Cricetulus griseus: one gene and its partners. The protein of the gene in region 1 purifies or fractionates together with the protein of each later gene. This does not show direct contact. Links are inferred from orthologs where the notes say so. Each region holds a gene or a part of one and is shown on either strand. Other genes may lie near its edges. The genes, in order: Bcl11a, Mta1, Chd4, Hdac2 and Mta2.

Region 1 (6,020 bases):
TGCAGGGACGATGGGTGCAGCCGCTGGAGGAGAGGGGAGGAAGGCTCCTGGCTCTGCAGACTCACAGATGTCCACCTGCAGCACGGGTCTCCACCCTGCGCCCTCCGCGCCTACCGGGGACTGTCCATCCCCCGCCCCCGCCCGGGCGCTGCTAGATTTGGACTCGGAGAGCGGTCTCCCTAGCTGCTGCTGCGGCGGCGGCGACTGCGGCGGCTGCAGGGTGGTGCAGGCAGGCTGGGAGGCTGGGAGGCGGGAGACGCCAAGGGACTTTGCAGCACGTTTCTGAATAAACTTTCCAATCGCAGGGGGTGCTGTTGCTGTACATTTTACGTAAAACTGAAAGTATCCCACGCCAGAGTGAAGCCCGCTTTTTGACAGCGGCAGCGCGCGCGCGTGTGTGCATTAAAGAGACAGGGGTTTATTTCCAACAGGTCTTTCCTAATTCCAGGGAAGGGCTGCAGAGGGGAACCGAGGGGGCTTTGGGCTCCCGTGTGCGCGCGGTGGCTGCTGGCGCCTGGGCAGCGCGGCCGTGACCCGAGGGCCTCACCACAGCAGCCTCCTGGCTGCTCCTGCTAGACAGTTTCATTCCTTTCCCTATTTTCTCTTTCCTCGTGTAACAGCTAAGGAACAATTGTGTTCTGTCCTCAAGAAACATTTTCCTTCCCTTTGCTCAGTGCTTTTGCATTTGCCCTGGAGTGGGAGGGGGTGTGTCCCTCCTTGGAAGCAGGCTCAAGGACCTCCCGCAGCGCCGGGAGCAGGTTCCCAGAGACTAGGAATCTGGGGGCTACCCGTGCTTTGTCCTCTGGCCGGGGACAGCTCCGAGGTGGACGCCTGGGTGCCTCGAGCCCCGGCCCCGGGTGCTCCCCTCTGGGGACTGGAACGCACCCGGAATCTGGCTTCTCGGGCTTTGTATCTCGGCCCCTCTTTCTGCGACCCTTGGTAGCTGGGGACTCACGGCTTTTGTAGGTGGCATTCAGACCCGATCGTTAGTTGGGTCGCTCAGATTCCGAGTCCCTGCCTTGGCCTTGGGGGCGCGCTCTCGGCCCTTGAGCCTAGGCCTGCGCCGTCGGCCTCGCCCCAACCCCCTCTCTCCAGGCGGCTTCTGCTCCCTCAGGCCCCGGAGCTGGCCTTCCGGACCCGCGACCCTCCAAACTTGGGCTGGATTTCGCTCTCCCGCGCGCTCCCTCCCGTCTCCCCTCGCCCGCTGCCGAGCTCTAACTTGGAGGCTCAGCTCTCAACTTCGGGTGATTTTTTCTTTCCTAGCTTTCCTTGGGCAAAGTTTCCAGAGCGCTGCCGCGGGCTCGGGGCTTGCACTCCAACCCTCGGCGTCCGCTGGCTGGGAGGGGAAGTGGGTGTGCGCATGGAGGAGGGTGTCCGGGACCCACTCTACCTGGCTTCCCTCCGCCCGCGCCTCCCTGGCTCTGGGCTGCAGCGTCCTGGAGCACTCTTGCTCCCTCCCCCACCCAAATAATTTTTCATTTTAGGGTCGGTGAGTGTGTGTGTGTGGAGGGGGAGTGGAGCAGGGCGCAAGTCTTGCTCCCCCTCACTCCTCCCTCCCACCCCGCCGTCCCTTTCTTCTCTCCCGGCCACGCCACCGCCGCGGCGCTCGCTGCGGCCACTGGTGAGCCAGCCGCCCCAGAGCCCCTCCCCTCCGCCCGCCCTCCCCCAGGGCCGCGTCTGGCGTCTGCGGAGCCCCCCGCCCCACACCTCCCCCGCCCCGCACTGGCCATTGGCTTGTCCTGGTCTCTTTTTCATGTCCAGCCCCTGATGTGTGTCCATTGGTGTGAGCTTCCCCTTCCCTCCTCCCCTTCTCTCCTGCTCGCCCTGCCCATGTTTTGTGTGTCTCTGTCCATCCAGACTCCTGACGTTCAAGTTCGCAGGGACGTCACGTCCGCACTTGAACTTGCAGCTCAGGGGGGCTTTTGCCATTTTTTTCATCTCTCTCTCTCTCTCCCTCTATCTCTCTTCTCTCTCTCTCTCTCTCTTTTTTTTTTTTGCTTAAAAAAAAGCCATGACGGCTCTCCCACAATTCATCTTCCCTGCGCCATCTTTGTATTATTTCTAATTTATTTTGGATGTCAAAAGGCACTGATGAAGATATTTTCTCTGGAGTCTCCTTCTTTCTAACCCGGCTCTCCCGATGTGAACCGAGCCGTCGTCCGCACGCCGCCGCCGCCGCCGCCCGCCCCGCAGCCCACCATGTCTCGCCGCAAGCAAGGCAAACCCCAGCACTTAAGCAAACGGGAATTCTCGCGTAAGTAACCCAATAATAGTAATAATAATTATTAATAATCACGAGGGCGCGCAGGACGCTAAGCAAGAGTGAGGTTGAGAGAGGGGTGTGTGCATGCATTAAAATTTTTTTCAGGTAAAAAAACCTTCGTTAGTTGGGGTAAAAAGATATTAAAGGGGAAAAAGCCCCATATCCCCTCTCGAACGAGAACCGTGTGTGCACTTTTGAGACGGCACGCACCTTTTAATTTTATAAAAAAATTGACTCCTCCTCTTTCCTCCTCTCCGCCGCTGTATTTCTTCTTTCAAAAAGGAATGCTATGATTTCTACCTCAGTTTTGCAAAAATAATGAACAATGCTAAGGATGCGAACAACTCACATGCAAACCTGGGGGTGGGAGCTGGAAGGAAAGGGGGGTTGTTTCTACTTCACTATAGGAAAATGGAGGGGGGAGGGAGGGCGTCAAGTCTAAAAACAATTCCTGGGGTGAGACTGGCCTTAGGACACTAATATGTGCACGGTCAAGTGTGCAGAGGGAGGAAAGTAGTCACCCCCACAATAGTACGAAAGTGGGACTGTAGAAGGGGCCCCCCGGCGCTTCCCAGGCAGCCGGTTCCGGAGAGAGGGGCTGCAGGGGCTGGGAGAGCCGGGTGACCGGGAAGGATCGGAGTCGCGCCCGGCGCTGCCGTCTTTTGTTCCGGCCGGAGGTGGGTGTTTGTCCCGCCGCCTTTTGTGCGGGCTCCTCGCGCTTGCCCTCCTGCGCCGCCACCGCCGCGGAAGGGCAGGAGCAAGGGCCGAGTGAGGAGGCGGCCCGGGGCACGCGGTAGAGGGAGGGAGGGCGCACGAGCCGCCGCCGGCGGGTTGCCGTTGCCCGCCCCTCCTGGCTGAGCCCAGGAGGAGACGAGGCGAAGACGCGTTAAAAAAAAAAAAAAAAGTAACGCAAAAGAATGTACAATTTCTTGCCCCCCAAAAGAAACCAAATGTTCCACCAGTCATATTTTTCACCGCTTTCCTGGGATTCGTCCACATCCCCCACCCCTGAAGAAATTCCACGATCTTTAATAGAGAAAAAAAAAGAAAAGAAAAAAATAGAAGAAAAAAAAATCCTTGACACCCCTTCCCCAAGCCCCCATCAAGTTGCAAACTTAGAGCGCCGGCGGCATGGAGAGGGAGTGAGGAACTCCCTCCTCTTACTATTTTTTGGAAGATTTTCAAAAAAAGTGGAAGTGGATTTTGATTGGGAAAAATCTCGTGTCTGAATGTTTACAAGCACCGCGTGTGCGGGAGCCTCCTGCCAACAAACAGACAGAGGACCGAGCGCGCCGCGGCAGCCCCGGAGCAGGCGGCCACAGCGGCCGGGCCTCGCCCGACCTCGCCGCACCCCAGTCTGGAGTCGGGATCGCCCACCAGGCGCTCGCCGCCCACCCGCCAGGCACCGCGGCAGGCCACGCCGCGACTCCGCCAGCCCGGCCTGCGCTCCGGTCCGCCCCTAACACAATGCCCAGCTTTCCCTTCGACCTCCCAGACAGCGAAAGCTGCAGGATGAAACTCGGTTTTGCAAAACATTTTTATTTTGCAAAGCAACTGTAAAGGCGAGTTCTAATAGTGCTCTCCATTACACCCGGGGTACTCTTAGATTCCTCTGGTTCTTAACTTTGGGCGGCCGGGAGGTTAGTTACCACGTGCTTTCCCTGCCCCCCTCCCAATCTGGCCAGTAGCCTCCTGGACCAAAGCAGTTGCCTGGCTAGGTTGAGGAGGGGGGCGGGGCAGGTAAGAAGTGTGCTGTGTATGCGTTTTGGGGGTGCAGGGTCCCTGGACTCAGCGAGACTCATCCTTGGGTTCTTGCCCTATACCCTGGGCCTGTCTTGGTCAGGGGTTCCTCCTGTGAGTTTATGTAAGTGTGCTAGTGGCGGTGGTGATTAACTCCACCTGAAGGTGTGCTTGGAGAGGCTGATGGTGGGTACTTAGGAAACTTTGAGTCCAGTAAGGAAAGGCATGCCCCCCTCCCTCTCCATCAAATCCTCTTATTCGTGACTCTTAATTTTTGACGAAAGCTTGAAGGGACCCCCTATGTTCTCTTCTGGATTTGTTGAGGGAGGGGTGCTCAATGGGAATTGATCCCCCCCCCAACTCTGGGCCGAGGAACTTGTCACACACTTCGGAAGCTCCCCCGCCCTGGCACGTTGCGGGGCCCTCCCTCTCCCCACCCCCGCGCATCTCTCCCTCGCCGCTCTCCCCCGCCCCCACTCCCACCGGCCGCGCCGGATACAGAGCAGACGCGGCGCGCGACGGTGTGAAGTTACAGCCCGGCCAGGTACCGGCGGGAAGGAAGGGCAGTGTTCGCAAGACTCGGGAAAGCCGGGACTTTGGGACAGTCGGAAGGATGCCATGGGGGCGCAAGGGACAGTCTGGGAGGCGCAGTCCGAGCTGCTCACTACTCTCCTCCCACTTGGGTCCCTTCTGGGACTCTCCAGTCTGGGAGGATTAGTCTCTGCTGTCCGGGGGAGGGACACTGGACTAGGAGGACAGTTGGAGGGGTATGTGCAGGGATCACTTATTTCATTTTCTGGGTGCTCAGAGGGCAGGAACCTCCGGGTCCTTAGGACAATCCCCCCCCACCTCCCACCCCCACCCCCGTCCTCAGCTACGTGGACTGAATGAGCCATTTGGTCGCTAGGAGGCAGAACAAGATCAAGAAAAGCTCAGCGAACTTGAACCTGTACCAGAGCCTCCCCCACTCGCTGCCCGGCGTTTCTCGGCGGGGGAGGGACGAGCGTTGGGAGAGTGGGGGTGGGGGGCAAGGAACGGTTAGGCAGAATTCCCTTTCTCCACCCCCCATTACCCCTTAGGTCTTTGTTCTTCATTTTGACTTAAAAAAATGCTTTTGGCTAGGGCCGTGTAGAAGCGCCGGGGCGCGCTGCCGACACCCCCACGTGCAAGGAGATCCCGCAGCTCCCTGCGCGGAGCCTGGTGCACTTTAGGGTCCTTTCAGGGAAGGCATTTTTGGTATCCAGGAAGGGGGAGTATGCTCTCGAGCTTGGAGCTGGCCGAAAGCAGGGGTATGGCAAGTTTGCCCTTGGCCCCTAGGATCACTTTTTTTCCACCCCCATCCCCGCGCACAGCGCACGTCTCCGCGGCCACCGCAGGCTTACCGGACGGCTTGGCAACCCGACGCTCCCCCTCCCCGCCTCCTGCAGCTCTCGCCTGGAAGCCCGAAATCACAACAATAGTAATAGTTATCATCATAATGATGCGGGCTAGCAGCGTCATTAATAATGAATAACCGCGGTCGCCGCCTGGCGCGCACACGGTGCCCGGAATTGCGGGTGAAACACATTTGCACAGATCTTCCAAAGTAAAAGTATTAGCTTGTGCACACAGAATGCATTTCAGGACCCGCGCTCTGGGTGTGCGGGATGAAGCCAAGACTTGATCAGGTTATCCAGCTCAGTTTTCCAAACCTTACTTCCCTTTTCACCAACTGGCTGCTTCAGGGAACCGGCACTCGGCGGTAGCCGGGCGGAATGGGCGTGGAGGCGGCAGCCGAGTCCTCGGGCCACCCGCCTCCTCCAAGCTGGGACTGCGGGTAGCTGCTGCACGTGTTCGCTGTGCACGGCCTGAGCCTGCAGCCAGGAAGGAGGCTGCTCGCTTTGTGCCGGGGAGCCCCGGTGCCCAACTTCACTTTCTAAGCGGCCTACTCCCGCAGGGCCCCGGCTCTCGGCCCCCGGCCCCCGGCCTGTCGCCTTTGGCTTTGCTTTTGTTTCTTTGCTTTGCCTTCCTGATTTTT
Region 2 (5,524 bases), on another chromosome or scaffold:
CAGGGGCCAGCGGGTTGTTGCGTGGGGCACTGTGGTGGGTCTCTAGGACGTGGAGCCTTAGTTTGTACATCCAGCATGAAGTCCATGGTCTTGCCCTTGTTTCCTGTTCAGGCCTTTTCCCTGAGTAGGGAAAGGCCGCAAATGTCCCCGGGTCCCTGTGGATCCCATGACAGGTGTGTCTATGTGTCTGGGCCTGTGTTCTCACTGTGTGCTCTGGGTTCTGTCTCTGCCATAGGCAGGCACTTCTCCAAGGGCTAGGCTGGGACCTAGCTAACGAGCTCCCTGCTGTCTGAGTGGGTGGCTGAGGTGGGACCCCAGAACCAGTGCTGAGCCTACGAGCAGCATGGCTCAGGAGGAGGCCCGTCTACATTTGCCACAGACAGTGAGGCCGAGGATCTCCAGGTCTGAGGCAGTTCCCCATAGAGAGATCTCCGGCAGACACACTGGAGATGGAGAAGTCTCCTAACCAGCCCCGAGGCACCTTTTGTATGTTCTTTGCCCCCAACTCATTTTGCACACGGGACTCATAGGCCGCTAAGATGCTCATGCAGTCCTGCCTGGCCTCCTCTAAAGCCGAGGCCCAGAGGCCCTTTGGTGGCAGTGTGCCACCTGGGTCCTGGCTCTCACTGGCTTGCCTGGCGGAGGGCATCCCTGCAGCTCAGCTCTGGTGCTCAGTGAGTCTCCCTCTCCCCAGCTCCGTGGGCACCTTTGCACGGGCCCTGGATTGCAGCAGCTCCGTGCGGCAGCCTAGCCTGCACATGAGTGCCGCGGCAGCCTCCCGAGACATCACCCTGGTGAGTGGGCCACTGCCACCTCCCTGCTCTCTTCTGGGGTCCTAGCAAGGTAACTGAGGACTTCAGCGACTTCTGCTACACCTTAGATTTGTCTAACACACGCCAAGGGAGTTAGGGAGGGATTCCTACCAATTCCCACCCAGGGGCCTTGGCAGCCACTAGATTGTCACCTTGAGACCTGAAGGAGTGGGGGCAGGGGGTCACATCGCAGGTTCAGGAAGATGCTCCTTAGGGTCTGGGGACAGCCTGGACCCAGGGGAGCTCTGCTGTCTTCCAGTTCCATGCCATGGACACGCTGCACAAGAACATCTATGACATCTCCAAGGCCATTTCAGCCCTCGTGCCGCAGGGTGGGCCGGTGCTCTGCAGGGATGAAATGGAAGAGTGGTCTGCATCGGAAGCCAACCTTTTTGAGGAAGCTCTGGAAAAATATGGGAAGGATTTCACAGACATTCAGCAAGATTTTGTAAGTGCTTAAGTGAGGCTGGGGTAGTGGCTAGCCAGGCCCCACCTCTCACCCAGGAAGATGCCTGTGCCTATGGCTAGGCCTCAGCCCTTTGAGTCCAGTGAGCGCTGAGCAGGCCTAGGCTCTCACTGTGGAGCTAGGAGAACAACCGTGGAGGTTTCCCTGAGGCACCCTCAAGACTTCCCGGCTGCTTGGACTCGTTTCTGTTTTGTTCTTAACTAAGCTGACCCTCCCTCCTGTGTGCAGTGCCAGCCAAGTCTTTACTATGATAGAGCCTAAGCCCTCAGAGCCCCCCAGCTCCCCAAAGGACTGAAGAGTGGGATCATGTCTGTATGAGCTGAGGCAGCTGGGCCACCTTCCCCACAGCCTTGAGGAGATAGGGTTACTAGCATCCAGGATGTAGTGAGTGGAATATGTTACCCACTGGAGTACCGTCAAACAATGCCGATAACCCCAGCATTCAGGAGACTCAGGCAGGATTATGAGTTTGAGACCAGCCTGGGAAATAGTGAGAACCTGCTACAAACCCACAAACAAACCCAGTAGCAAGCCTAGGCCAGGGTGGGAGAGCCAGGAGCGTGCAGGGTGCTTACTCAGGCATAGGCAGAAGGGCTGAGGGAGTGTCTGTCTCTGGGAGGCCCAGGTGCTGGTCACTCCCATGGCCCACAGAACCCACAGTCTCTGCTGGACAGCCTGGCATGTAACTGGATTTGAAAAAAAAGTACAAGCTTTTTAGACAAAAAGTAGAATGAGAAGAACGGGACAGAAAGAAAACAACAGTGGAACAGAGCTGGCAATGTTTGAGGGGGGCTGGGCGTGGCTGCTACAGTGGGGGACAGCCCTGCAGAATCTGCACGTTCCTAGATGCAGTTCAGCAGGTAAACTGAGTCTGTCAGAGACCCAGAAGAAAGGGCTGCAGAGCCACCTGCTAGAGGGCAAGGCCTGCTGGCTAGAGGGCCAAGTGAACCAAGTACAGAAACAGGATTCTGCACAGAACAGACAAGCCCACCTTCTGTGTCACCCGGTGCTGTCGTGGGTCTGCTCTCAGGAAATGGTTCGTGTAGATCAAGCTGATAGATATTAAAGAAACAAAGTTTTCAGGTGACATTTCTAACCATCATGCCAGCCTTAAAGACTGAAGCCCTAGCCTTGAGGCATAGCTCAGTGGTAGGTAGGATGCTGGCCTTGTATAGGCAAGGCCCAGGGTTTGATCCCTAACACTGCCAGAAAAACAACCTGTTGAGCCCTTTTTAATTAAAAGTGCCATTTTAGCCTGGCATTGGTGGCGCATGCCTTTAATCCCAGCACTTGGGAGGTAGAGGCAGGCGGATCTCTGTGAGTTCGAGGCCAGCCTGGTCTCCAGAGCGAGTGCCAGGACAGGCTTCAAAGCTACACAGAGAAACCCTGTCTCAAAAAAAAAAAAAAAAAAAAAAAAAAAAAAAAAAAAGTGCCATTTTAAACAGCAGCTTGAGGTGTGAAGACTAAACTTCAGTCATTTGGCCTGAGGCTTAGGCAGCACTGGAGGGAGGGCAAGGTGAAGGGGCTCTATACACTGCTATGTGCTGAAAGATAAAAGCCACTCCAGCCCCTCAACACTGAGCTAAATACGAAGGTGGAGGACAACTAACCCAGAGAAGCAGCAAATATGTCTTTCCAGCTAAGGTGAAGGGCAGCCCGACTGCTGCAAGGGGTCTCTCCTCCTGGGTGGGCCCCCTTGTGCACCTGAGAATGGGTAGCTCGTGACACCCATCAGTCCATGGTCCAGTCTGCCTTTGGCAAGAGACCTTGTGCTACGTTGTCTCCTGGCGGGAGGCAGAAGGGCAGGCAACGGGGTCTGCCCATCTTGTCCTCTTCGTCTCTGGTCCTTGGTAAGGACAGAACCAAGTTCTTGTCGTCTTGCTCAGGTCCCAGACTCAGACATAATGGAAATGACTCTAGCGTGGGTGTTGAGGGGAAGGTCAGCCACACACTCCTGTGGTTAGCACTGAAGGAGGGGGACCAGAATTGACCTCCCAGCACTGCCCTTGCCACCCTGCTCCCTATCTGGGCAGTAGTCCAGTTCCTACCACCCATGATGCCTTGTCTCACCCCAGCTCCCCTGGAAATCGCTCACCAGCATCATTGAATATTACTACATGTGGAAGACGACCGACAGATACGTCCAGCAGGTGGGCCCTCCCCACAACCTACCTCGTCCCTCCCCACAGTCTCTGTGTAGTCACATTAATTTGTTCCCAAAGACCTCCCCCTAACCCTGGAGCAAAGAGGAAGAAGCCATGGTCTCTAGAGGATGCACAGACAGGAGGAAGGGACATTCCTGAACCCTAGCCACCTGAAGCCTCCACTTCCTGGCCCTAGGATGGCCAGAGAGAGCCATGCAAAATTTTCTCGAGTCTTTCCCAGGGGAGCCAGTGATGGAGAAACAATGATGTTCCCCTCCCTGTGGTCTTCTAGCTGCCCTGGCCAGCCTGGTGACCTTCATAACCCTCTGTTTTGTTTTAAGAAACGTTTGAAAGCAGCTGAAGCGGAGAGCAAGTTAAAGCAGGTTTATATTCCCAACTAGTAAGTCCATTCCTATGTTCCTGGGGGCCATTGGTGGATGGGCAGTGACTGTGGGGCTCTTAGGATCCACTGGGGTCAGGCGGCCTCCTGAGCTAAGTCAAAGAACCTCCATCACCCTTTTCATGAGCTTGCTTAGCTTGGGAGGAGGGGTCAGGACTCGAGTTCCTTTGGCCTAGGAGTCAAGCTGGGTTTAGTGCTCAGCATATTGGGGCATGGGGTGTGGCAGCGAAGACACAGTGAACCAAGGGGACAGGGATGTCTGCTGGGATACAGACACTGCAGGGCACCTGTGACTGATCCTTCTCCTCCATCAGTAACAAGCCAAATCCAAACCAGATCAGCGCCAACAGTGTCAAGGCCAGTGTAGTGAATGGCACAGGGACACCAGGCCAGAGCCCCGGGGCTGGCCGGGCCTGCGAGAGCTGTTACAGTAAGTGCTGTGCCTGGCACCCACCCTGGGCAGCAGGGGCCACGGGAATGCTACTTCGTGGCTGTGGTGCTCATGGGACCTCTGAAGGCCCCTGTGCCCAGACCTGGAATGACTCGCTGCAGTGGTGCTGCCGGGGGTGGGGGTGGGGCTAAGGGGGTGGCGGGGGTGGGTGGGATGAGTGTGGTGGCGGTGGGGACACTGTGGGATGCTCTCTGCACCGTTGGTTCTGCTTAAGAATCCGTCTATCTCCAACTTTGTTGTCCGTAGCCACACAGTCTTACCAGTGGTATTCTTGGGGTCCCCCTAACATGCAGTGTCGCCTCTGCGCTTCTTGCTGGACATATTGGAAGAAATACGGTGGCTTGAAAATGCCAACCCGGCTAGATGGAGAGAGGCCGGGACCAAATCGCAATAACATGGTAAGTGCGGCATGCCATGCTTGTCGCCTGCCGCAGGTAGGCCTCAGGCCCTTGGCCTCTAGTCACGGTGCTGTGTTGGGGTGGTGTGCTCCGCTCCACAGAGTCCCCACGGCATCCCAGCCCGGAGCAGTGGGAGCCCCAAGTTTGCCATGAAGACAAGGCAGGCCTTCTACCTGCACACTACCAAGCTGACACGCATTGCCCGGCGCTTGTGCCGTGAGATCCTACGCCCATGGCATGCCGCGCGACACCCCTACATGCCCATCAACAGTGCAGCAATCAAGGCTGAGTGTGAGTCAGTCCCTTTCTTGGATCCGGTAGGAGCCACACCCATGCAGTGTGTTCAGGCCGGGGTCAAGGTGGTGGCCCCAACTCTGGGGGATCACAGCCCTTCACCCTACCTCGTCCTCCTTTAGGCACTGCACGGCTGCCGGAAGCGTCCCAGAGCCCACTGGTGCTGAAGCAGGTAGTGCGGAAGCCCCTGGAGGCTGTACTCCGGTATCTTGGTAAGCTGGGGGTGGGGTGGGGCGTAACTTTAACTCAAATCCTAACAACCTGTCGGGAAACCTTGCGCGGTCACCAGCACTCCGCTTCTGGCCTGGGTTGCACTGTGCTGGGCTCAGGATACCCACAGAGGGCAGTTCTGCCTCCTGTCCCATCCTTGGTCCCAAGTCCCAGGCCCTCTGTCCCTCACACCCCTGGCATACCCAGTAGCCCTGTGTCCTGTTGGAGACAGGGTTTCTGCCATGTAGCCCTGGCTCTCCTGGCACTCACTCTGTAGACCAGGCTGGCCTCAAACTCACAGAGATCCTCCTGCTTCTGTTTCTCAAGTGCCGGGATTAAAGGCGTGCGC
Region 3 (5,524 bases), on another chromosome or scaffold:
ACTAGTCTCGAATGCACAGAGATCCACCTGCCCTGCCACCCAAGTGCTGGGATTAAAGGCATGCACCAGCACCCAGCCAATATTTATTTTTTATTACAAAAAAGGACAGAAAATGATTGCCTCGAAATAAACCATTCCTCTCACCATTGAAGCGATCAATAGCCTCCTGACGCATATTCCCAGTGATCCCACCATCAATACGTTCATATTTATAACCTTCGTGTTCTAAAAAGTCTTCTAGCAAGTCCAACATCTTGGTCATCTATAAAAAGGAACAGCTTAATTATAGAGCTGCCAGGTGATAGTCCCTCTTCTCAATCACTAGGGCTGTCCCCCTACTGTCTCCGAAGTTCTAGTTGGGCCCACATACCTGGGAAAAGATGAGTACACGATGCCCTCCTTCCTTAAGGTTCTTAAGCATCTTCTGTAGCAGCAACAATTTCCCAGATGCTCTGATTAGGGCACTGCCATCATACATGCCATTAGGCATCTTAGGAGCTTCCTGGTGACAGAGCAAAGGAAAACATATTGAAAGAAAGTCCACAAGGAGGAGTGAGCAACCAACCAGGGAAGACAGAGGTGGCACAACTTACCATTGCTGCTACTGGGAAGAGGTAGGGGTGGTTGCAGCACTTCTTAAGATCCATCACCACATTCAGCAGGGAAACCTGGTTGCCACCACCTCGAGCATTAAGTGCTTCAAAATTCCGAGTGAGAATATACTTGTAGTATTTCCTACGTGAGCAAGATGCAAGGACAGGCTGGATTCGAGTCTTTAAATGACTAATGAAGCAACCCCAACAGCCTGAGATCATCTTTCCAACATTCCTCACTGTGGGGCTAAGCTAACAAGCACTAGCCACACCGCCGTCATGTTAGACACAGGAAGGTATAACTAAGAACTACAAACTCCAGCTCCCAGCTATCAGGTTTCTTCAGGCCCTACCTGCTTCTGTCACCAGATGCCGAGAAGCTATGTGGGACAAACCCTTGGCCAAATGGCGGGTGTCTAACTGTACTACAGAATGAGTTGTGCTTCTAGGCTTCACACTCACTTCTGCATGGGGCTCAGCTCCACGCGCACAATCAGTTCTGTCTTGGATGGCATATTCTTGAATACATCAGCTTTGAGCCGCCGCAACATGTGAGGCCCCAGCATATCATGTAGTTTTTTTATCTGGTCCTCTTTAGCAATGTCAGCAAATTCCTCCAAGAAGCCTTCCAAATTGCTTCAGGAAAAAGAAAAAAAAGATAGTCTTTGGAGAGGGAGAAACAAAGGAAGGAAAGTAATATAGGAAATGGGCATCAGAAGAACTAAAAGGATAACCATGGACTGACCATAATAAACACACTTACTGGAATCTCTCAGGGGTGAGAAAGTTGAGCAGATGAAACAATTCCTCCAGATTGTTTTGTAATGGAGTCCCAGTTAGCAACAGCTTATGCTGTAGTGAGTAACCGTTCAAAACTCGGAAAAACTGAAGAGACGAAATTCAAGAAATCAGAACACTGATATATCTCTACAGAATACAGTGAAATTAATTCTCTCATCCCATGGCTGGCATCATTCTTTTTTTTTTGAATTAATGATTTATTTATTTTTATGTGCATTGTTGTTTTGCCTGCATGTCTGTGTGAGAGTGTTGGATCCCCTGGAGGTAGAGGTATAGGCCGTTGAAAGCTGCCATGTGGGTGCTAGGAATTGAACCCAGGTCCTATGGAAGAACCACTGAGCCATCTGTCCAGCCACTCCCGCCTCCCCCTTTCATTCTTAAAGGCCAGGCCACAGAAGTGCTACCACAGGTATGGAATGAAAAAGACCATTTTTCCTTTCTTCTCTATTTAGGTTTATTTCAAAGAAAGGATGCTCCCAAGAGACTAAAACTAGAGACTATTACCTCCCATCCTACTCACCTTAGATTGATTGTTCTTTAGACGATGGGCTTCATCCACAATGAGGCAGGCCCAATCAATAGAACCTAAGATGGCCATATCAATGGTGATCAATTCATAGGATGTCAGCAGAACATGAAATTTCACAGATGCTTCTTTCTGCATAAAGATGAGTTGGTTATTCATTACTGGTCCACTCCTCCAATATCAACATAGCCAGAGACAGGTGGGCTTTCCCCACTCCCAGAGTTATCCTTTTGCCTTAGAGACCAGGTGAGGCAGCAAACTAAGCCCAAAGCAGTGAATCCCTTTCAAACAGTGACCTCCTCCTCCCGGCACTGAGATACCTTCATTCGGGAAGCCTTCTTGCCACCACGAATGGCATTGTCCTCAAAGGAGAACTCATTCTCCCTGATGATAGCACGGCTGTCCTTGTCACCCACATAGGTTACCACGTACATATCAGGAGCCCACATCTCAAACTCTCGCTCCCAGTTGATGATAGTAGAAAGAGGAGCACTCACTAAGAAGGGGCCTTTGGAATGACCCTAGGGAGAAAGCAGGCAGAATCAGGACTAAAAGCTGCATCATCTTAAAGCCCAGACTCCACCTACCCCCAACCACCCCCCAACCCTCAGCGAAGTTGGGGCCTGACACCTTCACCACTGCCCCACTCACTGTCCCCATTTCACAACTGTCTGACCCTCTCTTTTCCAAAACACAACACCCACCCTGAAGCCAAGCTCCACCAAGACTTTCCCTACCACTAATCCAATCACAATTCGGTTTACCCTAGCACTTCCACGGTAGGGTCTAGAGAGATGGCTCACTGGTTAAGAGCCCTGGCTGCCCTTGCAAAGGATCTAGTTCAGATCCCAGGACCCACATGATGGCTCCATCAGTAACTCCAGTTTCACACCTGAAACTGGCCTCTGGCCTCCACAAGTGGTGGACAGACATACTTACAGGTAAAACACCTTCACAAACAAAATATTTTAAAAATTTCCACAGCCGACCTATGTCTTCCTAGCCCTCAGCAGTGTTCAAAGTCAGGCTTTCTTCTTCCCTTCCTCCCTCTCCTCAAAGTGCAAGAAAAGAAAACAATCACGAAATAAATACCCACATCAAAAACTAACATCTGCCATCCTTACCTCCTTGTAGAGGGAATAGAGAAAGACTGCTGTCTGCACAGTCTTCCCAAGGCCCATTTCATCAGCCAAGATGGTGTCAGTACCCTGAGCCCAGGAGAAGCGCAGCCAGTTTAAGCCTTCCATTTGGTAGGGGTGCAAGGTTCCACCTGTGGCATCCAGGTACTCAGGTTGTCGCTCATACTTCACTGTCGGCTGAAGGATGAGAAAGAAGGTAAGAGCTGGTAAAGATTTCCCTTTTTCCCATAAGACAGTAGCTACTTCCTCCTTCACACTTCCTCACTAGACTTTTTTTTTTCCTCTAAGAGCTAAAATAAAAACAAAAACCACGCAAACAAACCCTTAAGGAAGCCAGGCATAGTAGCACCTGCCTGTAGTCCTAGTACTTCGGAGGCTAAAACAGAAGGATTGAGTTCATATGAAAACCAGGGACTGGAAAAATAGCTCAGTGGTGAGAACACTCACTGTTCTTCCAGAGGACTTGGATACAATTCCCAGCACCCACATGGCAGCTAACAATGGTCTGTAACTCTGATCTGACACAGACATACAGGCAGGCAAAACAGCGATGCTATTAAAATAATAGATTATTTAAAAAATATGAAAAATTTTTAAATGAAATTTAAAAAATATGAATACACTGATTCCACTAGATCTGCCAGGAAGCTAGGTGTGATGGTGGTACACACCTGCAATCAAAGCATGTGGGAGGTGGCGACAGGAAGATCAGTTCAAGGCCAGCCTCAGCTATGAGACCCTGCCTTTCTCAAATAAATAAATAAATAAGCCCTTGTATATAGAAGACCACTCCCTAGATAATACCTGTCATCACATATAATATCCCTTCTGTGGGTTTGCTTTTCCTGATGAAGAATGAATGAAACCCCAGGTTTTTTTACTTAAAAGGGAGGATGTGATGTCTCCAGAACATCTTAGCCAGAGCCATCTGTAGGCTGTGACTCACAGCCTCACTCACCATGAGAATGCAGCAGGCAAGACATACTGCCCACCCAACAAACGATGCCCTTCCTCTTCCACCCAACTCACATCAACAGTTGGGGTCTCCGGAGGCCTCTCCAGTTTCCGAAGCTTCACCTTCTTGAGCTTCTTGCCTGGCCGTCCTTCCTCTCCCCTCATTAACTCCCTAGGAATGGAAATGGACCACAGCTGCCTAGGGGTCCCTTCAAGGGGGCAGCTCTACTCTTTCCCCTGTCCGTTTGATCACCTACCTGTGATTCCAGTAGCCCTGCTTGAACAGGTCATAGTCCTGGATCTCCACATCCTCACTCTCCCAAGATGCCTGATCATAGGGTAAGTCTCGCCACTTGATTAAGTAGTGAACATGGCCCTTCTTGTCCACACTACAAGGTCAATAAAGAACAACTCCTCAGAGCCAGAAAGCAACTTTCCTCACCTCCCCAGTCAGTCTTGCTCTTAAAAACTGACAAAACCATTCTAAATGTGCCAGACTCCACATGTATTCAAAGCCTCAATGATATCTGTCTCTGGACCACTAATCTCTAACTTATGCTCTCCCTATGGGCCAAATTCCAGGACTCGGTCACTGAATTACAGAACCTAATTACAGAGCCTAAGTCACTGGCGATGGCCATCTGCTAATTCCTAACTCCTTTAGAAAGAGCCCCTAAGTACACCACCTCCAGGGAGCCAAGCTGGTACCTGTGGTTGAGGATTCGGTGGATCATCATCCACTCCGGCTTTATTCCATAGCGATAGAAGCGCTCTTCCATCTCTGCAAACTTAGGGTCCTTGTTCTTTCGCTTTCGGCTCTTCTCTTCATCTCCACCAAAGTCCCCAGAAGGTGGCTCATCCATATCATTCTTCCGCTGGTAGTTTCGGAACATCACCTGACAGTGCAGCTCCAACTGGGAGGGGGAAGAGAAAGTAAACCACCCTGAAACTCCATCCAGCCCCTACTCACAAGGCTGTTTTCTCAACACCTCTGCAGTATCACCCCACATACACAGCCTGTCCCAGGCTCACCTGCAGTTCTGATACCCAGGAGCAGTGCCAGTAAGACATGCCTTGCCATTTTACAAAGAACTGTCTCTCTGGCCGCCCCTCCAGGGGTTTGGGAGAAGGGGTATTAGGATCAGCATCTGGAGGCCGAGGCACTGGTGTGGGAGACGGCGGCTGGCCCCACTTCCAAATCAGGATCTTCTGCACTTTGCCCTTAAGAGCTGGACACTGAAAAAGAGATCACTTTATCTCAAAAAGCTGCACAAGGATGAGAACATGAGTTCAAATGGCCAGCATTTGGCAAGATGAAACTTGCTGGTCTTCCAAAGGAACAGCATTTGATTCCCAGCATTCCCATCGTGGCTAACAGTAATTTGTAACTCCAGTTCCAGGGGATCTGAAACCTTCTCTCACTGAATACACACTGTGTCTACACATACAGTCAACAAAAACACCCATCATAAAACAAAATTGCCAGCACCCACACAGAAAGTCACACAGAG
Region 4 (6,105 bases), on another chromosome or scaffold:
TGCAACAAATTGAAAGATTTGTCCAGCTCTTCCCTGAGGTTTAAGGTTGGGTTCTATTGAGGTAAAGAATAATAGTAGCTATGATTACTCTTATCAAAATGGTTATTACAACTCCTAATAGCTTCTATTCGTGTGCTTCAAAAACAATTCCATGTGGATTTTCTTAAGAGGCTTCCTCATAGTCATATAAGCAAGTCTCTCATTTTACGGGTAAAACCATTTATACAGAAATTTCAGGTGACTTGCTGGAAGTCACAGGCACTAGAGAAATAATTATGTACAAGACAAGCTTGGCTTGTCCGCTTGTGAAACTGTATCCTACTGAGACAAGTAGACAAGTTATGGGCAACTGTAATACGTTAAGTGTAGAACTTAAAAGGCACATGGTATTCCAGCTATCAGACCAGGGAGCAAGAGTTCCCGGATGTTCAGGTCAGCTGTTTCTGTGGGTTTCACCAGCCTGGTCTGAACCTCTGTGCTCTTCACTGGTCCTTCTCTGCATCTGGGTCCCAGTTCAGTTCAGTGATTAGTTATTGGTGTCTGCTTCTACTTCCACCAGCTGTTGGATGAAGGCTACAGGATGGCATATAAGTCAGTCATCAATCACATAATCAGGGGAGGGCATTTAAGGTAGCCTCTCCTTCGTTGCTGAGATAGGTAGCTGGTGTCATCTAGATCTCCAGAAATTTCCCTAGTGCCTGATTTCTCTGTAAACCAAAAATGTCTCCCTCAATTATGATATCTCCATTCTTGTTATCATGTATTCTTCCCCTGACTCATACTTTCTGCTCCCTCATGTCCTCGGCATCCCTCTTCTTCTCCCCTTCTCATTCTCCTAGCTCCCTCCCCCTTCTTCCTGTGCTCCCAATTTGCTCAGCAGATCTTGAACCTCTCCCCTTCTCCAGGGGACCATGTATGTCTCTCTTAGGGACCTCCTTGTTTATTAGCTTCTTTGGCAGTGTGGATTGTAGGCTGGTAATCCTTACTCTTAAATCTAAAATCCCATATGAGCGAGTACATACCATGTTTGTCTTTTTGCGATTGGGTTACCTGGCTCAGAATGGTTTCTTCTAGATCCATCCATTTTCCTGCAAATTTCAAGATTCCATTGTTTTTTTTTTTTTTTTTTTTTTCCGCTGAGTAGTACTCCATTGTGTAAATGTACCACATTTTCTCTATCCATTCTTCGGTTGAGGGGCATCTAGGCTGCTTCCAGTTTCTGGCTATTACAAATAGTGCTGCTATGAACATGGTTGAACATATGTCCCTGCTGTATGAATGTACTTCTTTTGGGTATATGCCTAAGAGTGGAATTGCTGGATCTTACTTTAATATCACCTCTTTAGGGAGGAGGCAGTGTGCTTGTGTGCATGTAGAAGGAATTATAAATGGTAATAGTTAGGAGATGCGAGTGTTGCATTAGACTGTCAGCTCCCATCCTTTCCCTGGGCCTTGCAGGATGGCTTACACAGGTGCTCAATAAATGTCACTCTATTAAACACAGGGACTCAATTTTTCAAATCCTTTCTTTGGATTTCTGCTCTTCTCCCAGTGCCCAGCCAATACCACATCCAGTCTGATGCAGTAGGCAAAGCATGTGGAGTCTGATAAAGTTCGACACCCCTCCGGTCCTCAGACCATTCCTTAGCCGTTGACAGCATCACACTCCCCCCATCTACTGGAGCCTATAAAGAAATGGACATGCACGTGAATGCCAGCACTTTTGACAGCTTTATAAACACATATCGGTGCTCAGAACCGTGCTTATACTCAAGTCCCACGAATACTTATTCAATCCAGGAGGTACAACCTGCCATTAAAGTCTCTAAGTCAGTAACGAAGAGTTATCAGGGGCTGAGGAGGGGAGGAGAACACGCGAATCTCGGAAGGCGTGAGAATCTCCGACCACCACACAGCGGGAGAGCACCACCTTCTGAAGCCCTGGGGAGTGCTCAAGCGGGTTCCTCTCGGGGTCCCCGCGGCACGTGGCGGGCTGGGGCCGGAGCGTCGCGGTGGTGGGGGAGGGGAGCGGCGTGGGCCCCGCGGAGGGGTCCAGACAGCCCGGGATACGTTTGAGCAGGCGCCGAGTGCGCAGGCTCAGTCCGGGCGCAACCAGTACCTGCAGATCGGAGGGGGAACCCGACGGCTGCGGGGGTCCGGGCTGCGAGCGCGGAGCCGAGATCCGCTCCCTCGCACCTCGGGACTGCGTACGACCTAACTGTCACTACACCCCTCCCGCCCCATCCGGCGGCGTCCACGCCTAACCGACCCCTGCGTCCGTCTGCAGACGCGGTTTCCCCTGTCACTCCATAGTGGTCGCGCCCGCCTCCCAGCCCCGCCACCCTGGGCCTCCCCCGCCGAGTGTCGCGCGTCGGCGCCGCTGCCACCCCCGCTCGGTGATCACTGCCTTCCCGGCTCCGGCTCCCATCTCGCTCCGGGCCGTCCTTGTTCCGCGGGCCGCCGCGCCCGCTGTCCCCTCAGTCCCCCTTGTCTGGCCGCCGGGCCGCGGCGGGCGGGAGCAGCCGGAGGAGGAGCCGCAGCCGGGAGGGAGGCGGCGTCCCGAGCCCATGGCGTACAGTCAAGGAGGCGGCAAGAAGAAAGTGTGCTACTACTATGACGGTGGGTGGCCGTGGAGCCAACGGCGGGGCTGCGGGGAGGGCGCGGCGGAGCGGACGCGCCGCTCGGGGTGTTAAGGGTGGCTGTCTGCGGGGACAGGGACACGGCCTACCCGGCTTCGCGGTCGTGGCCCGGAGACGGCCGCCCTGGCTCCTCTCGGGTCCTCCGCACGGGCACGCGCAGGTTTGGGGTGTACTGCCTCGAACCGGTCCCCGAGGAACCCCACTCGGCACCCCGGGCCTGACTACACAAAGCCGGCGGCCTGGAGCTCCGCCCCACGTCCCCGTCCCCTCCCCCGCTCGCCGGGTCCCCCTTCTTGCTGGCGATCTGTCTGTGCTGCGCTTCCAAGCCTCACCGGGACCCCGCCGCTCGGGTGGGGCTGCGGAGGAGTTACTCCTGGCGGGAGGCCAAGTTCGCAGAGCGGCGCTGTCTCGCTCGTGTTTTGCGTGGACTCCATCCCTCGCCTTTGTTCGCCGGGTTCTTTGAGCGCCTCTTTCTCAGGGTTCGGACTGAAGGGCTGCATGCACTTCCTCGGTGACAATTAGGGGTTTGGAGTTGGAGCTAGGCAGGCCTGTGGGGAAGTAGTAAGAGGAGGGAGGTAAGCTTGGAGTTGTTCCTACTAGATGGGTCCTAGCATGCCTCTGTGGGAGGTTGTTACCACCCACGTCTTTGTTGCTCTTTGTTCGATATGCAGTTATACCCTGCTCTGGGGGGGTTAGGAGAAAACATGGGCACCTTGCTTAGGAAGGGTGGTGGGGACCCTGCTGCAGGAAACTTTTGAGAAGTGAACTAAATATTCCAAACAGGTAGGGTGGAGCTCACAATGTAGTTAGTGAATGGTACAAGGTGGTGGTAAGGGGTGATTTGGAGTATGGGCAATAATTGTCTGAGTTCTATAGGCTGAGCAGGTCTCGGGTCTCAGTTACACTAAGTAATGCCCTGTCTTTCGGATTTCACCAAGACATTAGTAGATGACTGTTGAGAGAAGGAATAATTTGACAGAACTAGCCTCATTGCCCTGAAAGACCTGACTGATAATCTACAAAGCAATGCAAAGTTGGGAGCTGTTTTCTATATTTTTTGTGTTGAAGTCACAGTATCTTGGAGAGGTAGATAAGAGCCTAGAGATCCTAGGCTGAATGAAACTGACTTTAACTTGAAAATAGTCCTACCTATTCTTGGTTTGGTGGAAATTTTTAATGCTTGGATTTTTTTTGGGGGGGTGGTAGGGGGCGGTTAGAGACAGGGTTTCTCTAGGTGTATCCCTGGCTGTCATGGAACTCGATCTGTAGACCAGGCTGGACTTGAACTCCCAGAAATCCTCCTGTTTCTGCCTCCCAAGTGTTTGGGTTAAAGGTGTGTGCCACCCCTGTTGAGCATTAATACCTGTTTTAATAATAATGATAATAATAATAATAATGAAAGACACCCATGTCTTTGGCTGGAAAATCAAAAACCTTGCAGAAAGCTAGGAGAAAATAGAGAAGACTATCTAAATGACATTTTGTTTTGTTTGGGGGCTTTTTTTTTTTTTTTTTTTTTTTTGAGACAGCCTCTCTGTATGTGGTCCTGACTGCCCTAGAATTCACTATGTAGGCTGATGTCTCACTTACAGAGATCCATCCACATGCCTCTGTCTCCACGTGCTGGGATTAAAGGTGAGTCCTTAAAGGTGAGTCCTTAAAGGCGTGCCCAGCTTAAATTTCAGAGGACTATGTATGTGTTGAATAAATTTATGTGAAGTTACACCATCATGGAGGGAAGAGATGGGAGAACCTGTCAGTTTAAACTTGAATTACATTGTGAAGTTGGATTCATGGCAAACACTTGTCCTGCATTCTCTGATCCACTGGAAAAGATGTAACCCTGTAAATGAATTTGAAAAATTATAATTATAGCTTTTCTAAAGTAAAGGCTCGATTTTTGTTAGAAAGGTTTAACAGTCGGAACGGGTGCTTAGGACCTTCAGCTGTCAGCTGCTGTTGTCAAACAGGACTGTAGCTGTTTCCTGAGCAGCTATTGGTTCCTGAGTTCATGTTTGGAGGTGAGCCATTGTTGAGGGGCAGGATAGGCACTGGTCACAGAGATGGGAGGAATGGAGGAGGTTTTCAGTCATTTGATTTTTTACATATGCCTAGTTGTAAGCAACCAACTGTATAACTGATGGTGGAAGTCTGCTGGGTTATCTGTCTCTTGTCTGTTCTTACTTGGTGTGTATTTAGAATACACTTACTTAACTTCTGAATATTTGCATTTGGGGGAGCTAACAAAACCACAGAGATTCTTAAATTGATGTCATGGTTATGCTGATTAACATGGGATGACATGCTAGACTACACAAATTATTCTCTACACTTCTGTCTTCAATGCCAAACCCTATTCTTGTTTTCAAAAAAAAAGCAGTGACTTAATTGTCTTTTAAATTGTGGACAGAGGGTGCCAAGTAAAGTAATTTTGTATAAGAAAAGCATATGACTTTTAGATGCACAAAGGGTTGGGTTGGCAAAGGGCAATACCAGTAGTAATGGGACTTGAATAATATACTAGTTTAAGCTAGCTGGGGTTTTTTGTTCTGTTTTTCGAGGCAGGGTTTCTCAGTGTAGCACTGACTGTCCTGGAACTCACTCTGTAGACCAGGCTGGCCTCAAAGTCACAGATCCGCCTGCCTCTGCCTCCTGAGTACTGGGATTAAAGGCTCATGCCAGCACCATCCCACTCTAAGCTAGCTGGTTTTAACTTGGTTGGTAGAGGAAGTAGAGGGAAGGAAAAGAAAAGCAGTGAAGAAGCAAATCCTGTAACCATGGCTGTCCTCTTCTTTGTAGGTTTAATGGGGCCAATAGGCACACACTGAGCCTCTAGGCAACTTAGAGTGTTTTCTCTGTGTGCTTAATGAAGAATACTCTGAAGATAAATGTGGTTTTCTCTGTGTTCTGTAGTCTTTGGAATTGTACCCTTTAAATCACAAATCCGCTGATCTTCTGTGAACCTTGGGATATGGGTATATGAGCTATCTATCCCTATACCTCAGAAGAGAAATTAGAGTTGTTCTTAATTGGTGGACTGTGGCTATTGACATCTCTGTAGTTTCCAGAAACACTTTTGAATGTTGGTCATTCTTTATATACTAAAAGACAGTGCTTTGTAAAATGATAGATAGCAAATTATAGCTAATTAGGTAGACACTAAGATCCTTTCTGACCTTAAACTGATGTTATTTTTCTCTACTTAAGTGTAATTTAGCAGATTGAGGTACATTTGATTCTAATTGCAATGCTCACATTTTTAATTGATCTGGAAACATAAACTATGCCTTGTTTTGAATGAAGCTTGGGATCAATCCTATAGTGCCTTCTAATGAATACAGTATAATAGAATTGAATGTATGCATAATTTATATAATTAAGCATCAATTGCTTTACACTTCGCTTATTTTTCTCTGATGGAGATAATCATAATCAAAATGTTTAGAGACATGGTCCAGAGAAAGTC
Region 5 (6,113 bases), on another chromosome or scaffold:
TTTTTTTTTTTTTTTTTTTTTTTTTTGGTTTTTCGAGGTAGGGCTTCTCTGTGGCTTTGGAGCCTTGTCCTGGAACTAGCTTTTGTAGACCAGCCTGGTCTCGAACTCAAAGATCCGCCTGCCTCTGCCTCCCGAGCGCTGGGATTAAAGGCGTGTGCCACCAACACCTGGCTTGGCCTGGAATTCTCTATGTGGCCCACGCTGCCTTCACCTTTGTCATCTTCTTAGTTATGTCTCCTAAGTGATTATAGATGGGGTGCTGATAGGAGGCTTCCAGTCAGGAGGGGTGACGGTATTGAAGGTGCATCAAGCAGAGGGACTGATATGGAGGTGGAAAGGAGCTGGAATTGTGCACAGGAGGGATCCTGTGACTAGGTAAAATACAGTTCACACCATGTCTTCTTTCCACAACAATTCCAGGAAGTTGAAAAATGTTCCAGGTATGGTAGTGTACGCCTTTAATCCCTGAATTTGGGAGGCAGAGACAGGCAGATGGATCTCTATGAGTTCAAGGCCAGCCTGTCTACGTAGTGAGTTCCAGGCAAGTCAAGGCGACTTAGCAAGACCCTGTCTCAAAAAAACAAAACAAAAAACCCAGCAATGGGGGCACATACCTTTAATCCCAACACTTAGCAGGCAGATATCTGAGCTTAAGGCCAGCCTGGTCAACACTGTAAATTACAGGACAGCCAGGGCTACAAAGAGAAACCCTGACTTGAAAAACCAAAAAACAACCCCCTCAAAAAAAAAAAAAAAAAAAAAAAAAAGCCATGCAGTAAGAAAAGGTTGTCTTAGTATAATTTCTCAGGGCAAGTGTGGAGGGGCTAACTTATTTAGGAAGGAAAAACTGATTGGAAACTGTTAGAACTTTATCCAGAGGTTGAGGCAGGAGGGTGGGGAGTTCCAGGCATGACTAGGCTAGGCTCTTTCTCTTCAAGAAAGGGTTTCCTCAATTTTGCCCTGGCTTTCCTAGAACTTGCTTTGTAGACCAGGGGGGACCCAAACTCAGAAATCTGTCTGCCTCTGGCCTTTAATTCCAGTGCTGGGATTAAAGGCATACACCATCATGCTGGGTGTGCTTAGACTATCTTTCTTTCTTTCTTTTTTTTTTTTTTTTGAGACTGGGTTTCTTTGTCTTGGCCCTTGGCTATCCTAGAACTAGGTTTGTAGACCAGGCTGGCCTTGAACTCACAGAGCCTCTATCTCCAGAGTGCTGGGACTAAAGGTGTGTAACAACCATCCTGGCTGGACTTAGATTGTCTTAAAGTCAAACGAAATCAAACTACAGTGAGAACTCAGAAATCACATAGTGAGGTTCATAATGGATCAGGTCACCTTCCCAGCTGAGCTGGTTGGGGCAATTTCTACCTAGGGGACGTGGCTGGAGGCTGCAAGCTTCTAAGGAATCGCTATGAGAGCAGAGACCGGGAGTGGGCTACCTACACCTGTGTGCTAGGCTTCCACGTGTATGGTAAGTAGTGAAGCCAGCATGCAGCCGAGCCCTTTAGCAGGGCTGGGAAAAGAAGGTGGAACCCATTCTTGGATCAGAATGTTGGGTGTGTGTCATGTGTCATGGCGGGGGGGGGGGGAGAGGCAAATCCAGGCCAACAGGTCCCTTTGGGAATGGAGAGGATTGTCTGGAGGTAGCCTGGAAATCCTAAGCACTGCAGCTCTAGGTTGTGGAAAGTGCCCTGGCTGAGGCTACCTGTTGTGTTAGGTGTGTGGCCTGATGGCTCTGATGGGACAGACATCAACTCCCTTTGCCGCTCCCACAATGAACGTGTGGTGGCTGTAGCAGACGACTTCTGCAAAGTACACCTTTTCCAGTATCCGTGCGCTCGAGCCAAGGTGAGTCTTTAGAGGACCGTTGGGCCCCAGTGGGTAGTCTTGGGACCCTATCACTGCTGTGACTGTACATTTTTTTCTGGTGCAGGCGCCAAGCCGTATGTACTCAGGCCACGGCAGTCACGTGACTAGCGTCCGGTTCACGCATGACGACTCATACCTCGTCTCCCTAGGTGGCAAGGACGCCAGTATCTTTCAGTGGCGAGTGTTGGGCGCTGGGGGCTCTGGGCCCTCTCCTGTCACGCCTTCTAGAACTCCCTCTCTGTCCCCTGCCTCCTCCCTGGACGTGTGATGAATGCTGGATGGTTTTGTCCCTCTGGTACTGTGGCCTTGCCCCGCCCTGGCCAAAACCCCTAGGACCAAGTGCAGCCCTTTTCCTGGGCTGGCTTTTTCTTTGATTTCAGTACATTCCCAGTTGCGCATTTTCCTGGAGGGGCGAACCGCCCCATTGCACACACGATAACGACTCGCTGGCTGAACCAGGCAACCCCAGCTCTGACTCCCTTTGCCTGGTGAGGGGCAATAAAAAGAAAGAAAGTCACCGCTTGGTGCTTTTGTGGAGTGCGGCGGTTGCCTCAGGGGCCCGGTAGGGTTGGGATGAAAGAAAAAAGTGCAGGGCGGGAAGGGAAAAAAGGAGCTCGGACCAAATATGCAAATAACAGGCAAAGCGGCTTGCAAATAACCTCAAGAAGCGCGAGGGTGCGCGCGCGCCTTGCGAGGCCACTGTCGGAGCTGCAGGGACACATAGAGTAAAGAGTTAAATGCGGCTCCCTGCCGCCCTCGGGGGCGGGGTCGAGCTGCAACGGAAATAACCGAGCGCGGGGCCGCGGCTGAGCGAAAAGAGCCGAGTTCCTTCCGGAAGTGGCCGATCTGCGGGGTCTTGCTCTCCGACCTGAGCCGAGCGCTGGGCCTTGTTCTCCGGATCGGCCGAAGGTGTTCCGGAAGGAGGCGAACCCGGACGCGGGCAGGGCAAACCTTCTCAGGGGCTGGCACCATACGGCGTCTGCTGGGACTCGGTGAAGACGCTAGGAGCCGGAATCTGTCTCCGGTCAGGCAGGAACCGAGCTCGTTCCGGAAGAAGCCGAGCAGACCGGCGCCGGCCTGGGTATCCCGGGCGTGAGGCTATAGCAGTGTCGTCGTGGTCTTCGTGCGAGCAGTGATGAACCGCGACGGCTGAGCGAGCAGAGGTGCCGGCTGCGCGGGCCCCATCGACACTTCCGCGAAGCGTCAGCCCCACGCTGGGGGCATCGTCTGGAGCTAAGCTTTACCCCCGCGAGCCTCCGGGTCCTCTTTGTGCGGCCGGAGGCCGCGGCGGGAACGGCCATGGCGGCTAACATGTACCGTGTGGGAGGTGAGTACACCGGGCGGAAGAGGTTGGGGACGGGACCAGGGAGACTCGGTGTCCGCAGGCGCGGGGAGCAACATCTGGGGTCGTAGGGGCCACAGCGCCGACCGGAACCGGAACCGAGACCTATGGTTCCGCGGCGGCGACGCTACTGGGAGCCGAGTCTCCCGCAGAGGCTTACCTACAACGATCGGTGCTCTTGAGTCTGCGACTGGATCCCGGGGTGGGAAGTAGGCTTGGTTTGGAAGGGGACTGAGTGACTGCGGGGCCAGCTGCGGGGAGCCAGTCGCTCAGGGGTTTTCTTTTCTTTGGCGGCTTGTTCGTTCACGAAGGTGAGGCCTGAGGTGGGGGGAACAATTTACTCAATTCTCCCACGCAGGGGTGCAACTCCAATGCAGAGTTGTGTGGACTACAGGGAAATCCTTGTTATCTTTTTCCCCCTCCTCTCTCACTTCTTGGTTTTTCGACTCTGTCTGTCTGTCTCTTTGGTTTTTCGAGACAGGGATTCTCTGTAGCTCTGGCAGTCCTGGAACGCACTCTGTAGACCAGGCTGGCTTCGAACTCAGAGATCCTCTTGAGTGCTAGGATCTGACTTTTGAGTGAGAATCTGATTTTAGCGCTAAGTGTTGCAAGGGTGGGAGTAAAAACTTTTCTCCCTCCCCCCCCGCCCCCCCCCCCCGGCTGTCTTAGAACTCAGGAAATAGACCAGGTTGGCATCGGACTCAGATCCACCTGCCTCTGCCTCCCTCTGCTGGGATTAAAGGTGTGAGCAATCACTGTCTGGATAATTCTTTTATTTCTTTTCTCGTTCTTTTTTTTTTTTTTTTCCTCGAGACGGTTGATACTTATTTTCTTTTGTTTTCTCGAGACAGGCTTTCTCTGTCTATCCTTGGCTGTCCTGGAAATTGCTCTATAGACCAGGCTGTCCTCGAACTGGAAGAGATCTGCTTACCTCGGCTTCCTGAGTGCTGTTGGCCACCACTGCCCAACTAATACTTTTCTTTTGCGGGGGTGGGGGGATGGGGGGTGGGGTTCGAGACAGAGTTTCTCTGCGGCTTTGGAGGCTGTCCTGGAACTAACTCTGTAGACCAGGCTGGTCTCAAACTCAACAGGGAACCACCTGCCTCTGCCTCCTGAGTGCTGGGGTTAAATGCATGCGCCACCACCTTCTCTAATACCTATTTTCTTTTCTTTTTTTTTTTTTTTTTTTTGGTTTTTCGAGACAGGTTTTTCTCTGTGTAGCTTTGGAGCCTATCCTGGAACTCGCTTTTGTAGACCAGGCTGGTCTCGAACTCACAGAGATCCACCTGCTTCTGCTGGGATTAAAGGCGTGCATCACCAACACCCAGCTATACTTCTTTTCTTAAGTCTTTCCTCTTGCACATCTCCACATCTCTACCTAGCATTTTGTCTTTTTTTGGTCCACCCAAATCCACTTTCTCTTCTGGGTGCTCTGGTTTTCTTCTGATCTTGTTTCTCCCCACCCCCTTCTACAGATTACGTCTATTTTGAGAACTCCTCTAGCAATCCTTACCTGGTTAGACGGATTGAGGAGCTAAACAAGGTGAGTGGAGCAGAAATGGAGCAGTTTCTTTCTTCTGGAGTCTAACTCCAAGTGGAAGGGAGAGCCAGCCTTACCTAGGCTTAGAGCCTATACAGGTGAGCGAGCGTTCATTCCATGTATAGAGCTGCTGAGAGCTTAGCTGAAGCTTTATCATTCTCACATCTGGGGATAAAAGAATCCTGTCTCTGTTGTTTTTTTTTTGTTTTTTTAAATATACAGTGTCTATTTTGCAGCCTTGGTTGCCTGGAACTTTCTGTGTGATCAGGTTAGCAAACTTATGGAGACCCATCTCATTGGTCCTGTAATTATCTTTGAATATTAAGTCTTCATTGCTGAGTTTTTGGCCTCTTCTACTTAAGTCCTTAGAGAGTGCCTGTTAGTGTACCTCCACTTTCAAATGGCTAATTTTCATTGCCCTGTTTTTCTTCCTTCTTTAGACTGCCAATGGCAATGTGGAAGCAAAGGTTGTCTGTCTCTTCAGGAGAAGGGATATTTCTAGTAGCCTCAACAGCCTGGCTGACAGTAATGCTAGTGAGTGTCTTCATTCCTTCCCCTTTCCCCCCTCCCCAGGATCTGAGGACTAGACTTGTTCCTGCAGGTGTTTCCCCTGGTAACACGCCCAAGGCAGGGTATGAGTTTGGAGGTGGGAAGTGCCTGGTCTGCAGAGCAAGGCCTGTTGTTACATGTTGGGGCTGGGGCTGGAAGCCGGGTGGGGAGACCATGATCAGAAAAGCCAGAATGTGGTGTGTGTGTGTGTGTGTGTGTGTGTGTGTGTGTGTGTGTGTGTGTGTGTGTGTGTGTGTGTGTAAGGAGAGATACTTAGATAGGGAATGAAAAGAGCTTTAGAGAAGGCACGTGGGGACATTTTGGGTACTTTGGGACAGTGGTTAGTGAGCGATGGTCAAGGTGGAGAGGAAGATACTGTTTTGAGAATCCTGCATAGTAATGGGGGAGGCTTATCCTGTCGTCTGGAGGTGAAGCCAAAACATTGACGAAGCTGACGGAAGCTAGAGGGCAGGAAAGCGCTTGAGCTTTCCTGTTTCCCTCTCTATTCCAGTTATCATCTGCCTTACTTCATCTTCTCATTTTTCCCATTTAACTACTTTGCCTCTTTTTTTCCCTAAAGTTTTCTTTTTTCAGGCCACAGCCATGAAAGAGTTAATGAGCTGGGCCTACCAAGTTTCCTGGCCCTTTGGGGTTTCTAGCCCCATCTGGCAGGGGCTGACCTTGGCTTTGTCCAATCAGAATGGGTAGGGGGTGTGGTCCTCCTTGCCCTCCCCTGGGTTTTCTAGAGCACACCAGGGAGAGGTGGAGCCTACTACACAGACACAGGACCTCCCCCACCTCCCCACTTGCTGT

The links.
Region 2: the proteins of Bcl11a (region 1) and Mta1 purify together in Homo sapiens (affinity purification with mass spectrometry; 4 studies listed by BioGRID and IntAct, counting the BioPlex papers as one, with this or other methods). This does not show direct contact. The link is inferred for Cricetulus griseus from reciprocal best matches to the Homo sapiens genes BCL11A and MTA1.
Region 3: the proteins of Bcl11a (region 1) and Chd4 purify together in Homo sapiens (affinity purification with mass spectrometry; 5 studies listed by BioGRID, with this or other methods). This does not show direct contact. The link is inferred for Cricetulus griseus from reciprocal best matches to the Homo sapiens genes BCL11A and CHD4.
Region 4: the proteins of Bcl11a (region 1) and Hdac2 purify together in Homo sapiens (affinity purification with mass spectrometry; 4 studies listed by BioGRID and IntAct, with this or other methods). This does not show direct contact. The link is inferred for Cricetulus griseus from reciprocal best matches to the Homo sapiens genes BCL11A and HDAC2.
Region 5: the proteins of Bcl11a (region 1) and Mta2 purify together in Homo sapiens (affinity purification with mass spectrometry; 4 studies listed by BioGRID and IntAct, with this or other methods). This does not show direct contact. The link is inferred for Cricetulus griseus from reciprocal best matches to the Homo sapiens genes BCL11A and MTA2.

Annotation. Positions count from the first base shown.
Region 1 is NW_023276807.1:82,691,772-82,697,791, reverse strand, and holds the start of Bcl11a (B-cell lymphoma/leukemia 11A), read left to right. Parts: upstream 1-2,199; coding exon 2,200-2,254; intron 2,255-6,020. UniProt on the Homo sapiens protein: Transcription factor. Associated with the BAF SWI/SNF chromatin remodeling complex. Binds to the 5'-TGACCA-3' sequence motif in regulatory regions of target genes, including a distal promoter of the HBG1 hemoglobin subunit gamma-1 gene.
Region 2 is NC_048598.1:180,920,770-180,926,293, reverse strand, and holds part of Mta1 (metastasis-associated protein MTA1), read left to right. Parts: intron 1-694; coding exon 695-794; intron 795-1,071; coding exon 1,072-1,260; intron 1,261-3,353; coding exon 3,354-3,428; intron 3,429-3,763; coding exon 3,764-3,822; intron 3,823-4,136; coding exon 4,137-4,252; intron 4,253-4,519; coding exon 4,520-4,671; intron 4,672-4,772; coding exon 4,773-4,962; intron 4,963-5,087; coding exon 5,088-5,177; intron 5,178-5,524. UniProt on the Homo sapiens protein: Transcriptional coregulator which can act as both a transcriptional corepressor and coactivator. Acts as a component of the histone deacetylase NuRD complex which participates in the remodeling of chromatin.
Region 3 is NC_048601.1:21,319,251-21,324,774, forward strand, and holds part of Chd4 (chromodomain-helicase-DNA-binding protein 4), read right to left. Parts: intron 5,250-5,524; coding exon 5,046-5,249; intron 4,928-5,045; coding exon 4,722-4,927; intron 4,403-4,721; coding exon 4,271-4,402; intron 4,186-4,270; coding exon 4,089-4,185; intron 3,237-4,088; coding exon 3,045-3,236; intron 2,442-3,044; coding exon 2,241-2,441; intron 2,053-2,240; coding exon 1,915-2,052; intron 1,479-1,914; coding exon 1,357-1,478; intron 1,230-1,356; coding exon 1,056-1,229; intron 736-1,055; coding exon 594-735; intron 503-593; coding exon 371-502; intron 263-370; coding exon 145-262; intron 1-144. UniProt on the Homo sapiens protein: ATP-dependent chromatin-remodeling factor that binds and distorts nucleosomal DNA. Acts as a component of the histone deacetylase NuRD complex which participates in the remodeling of chromatin.
Region 4 is NC_048595.1:259,836,562-259,842,666, forward strand, and holds the start of Hdac2 (histone deacetylase 2), read left to right. Parts: upstream 1-2,352; 5' UTR 2,353-2,567; coding exon 2,568-2,619; intron 2,620-6,105. UniProt on the Homo sapiens protein: Histone deacetylase that catalyzes the deacetylation of lysine residues on the N-terminal part of the core histones (H2A, H2B, H3 and H4).
Region 5 is NC_048596.1:51,151,450-51,157,562, reverse strand, and holds the start of Mta2 (metastasis-associated protein MTA2), read left to right. Parts: upstream 1-2,715; 5' UTR 2,716-3,168; coding exon 3,169-3,196; intron 3,197-3,469; exon of another isoform or gene 3,470-3,522; intron 3,523-4,686; coding exon 4,687-4,754; intron 4,755-5,191; coding exon 5,192-5,285; intron 5,286-6,113. Other genes in the region: Eml3 (echinoderm microtubule-associated protein-like 3), read left to right, coding at 1,373-1,471, 1,718-1,848, 1,934-2,137. UniProt on the Homo sapiens protein: May function as a transcriptional coregulator. Acts as a component of the histone deacetylase NuRD complex which participates in the remodeling of chromatin.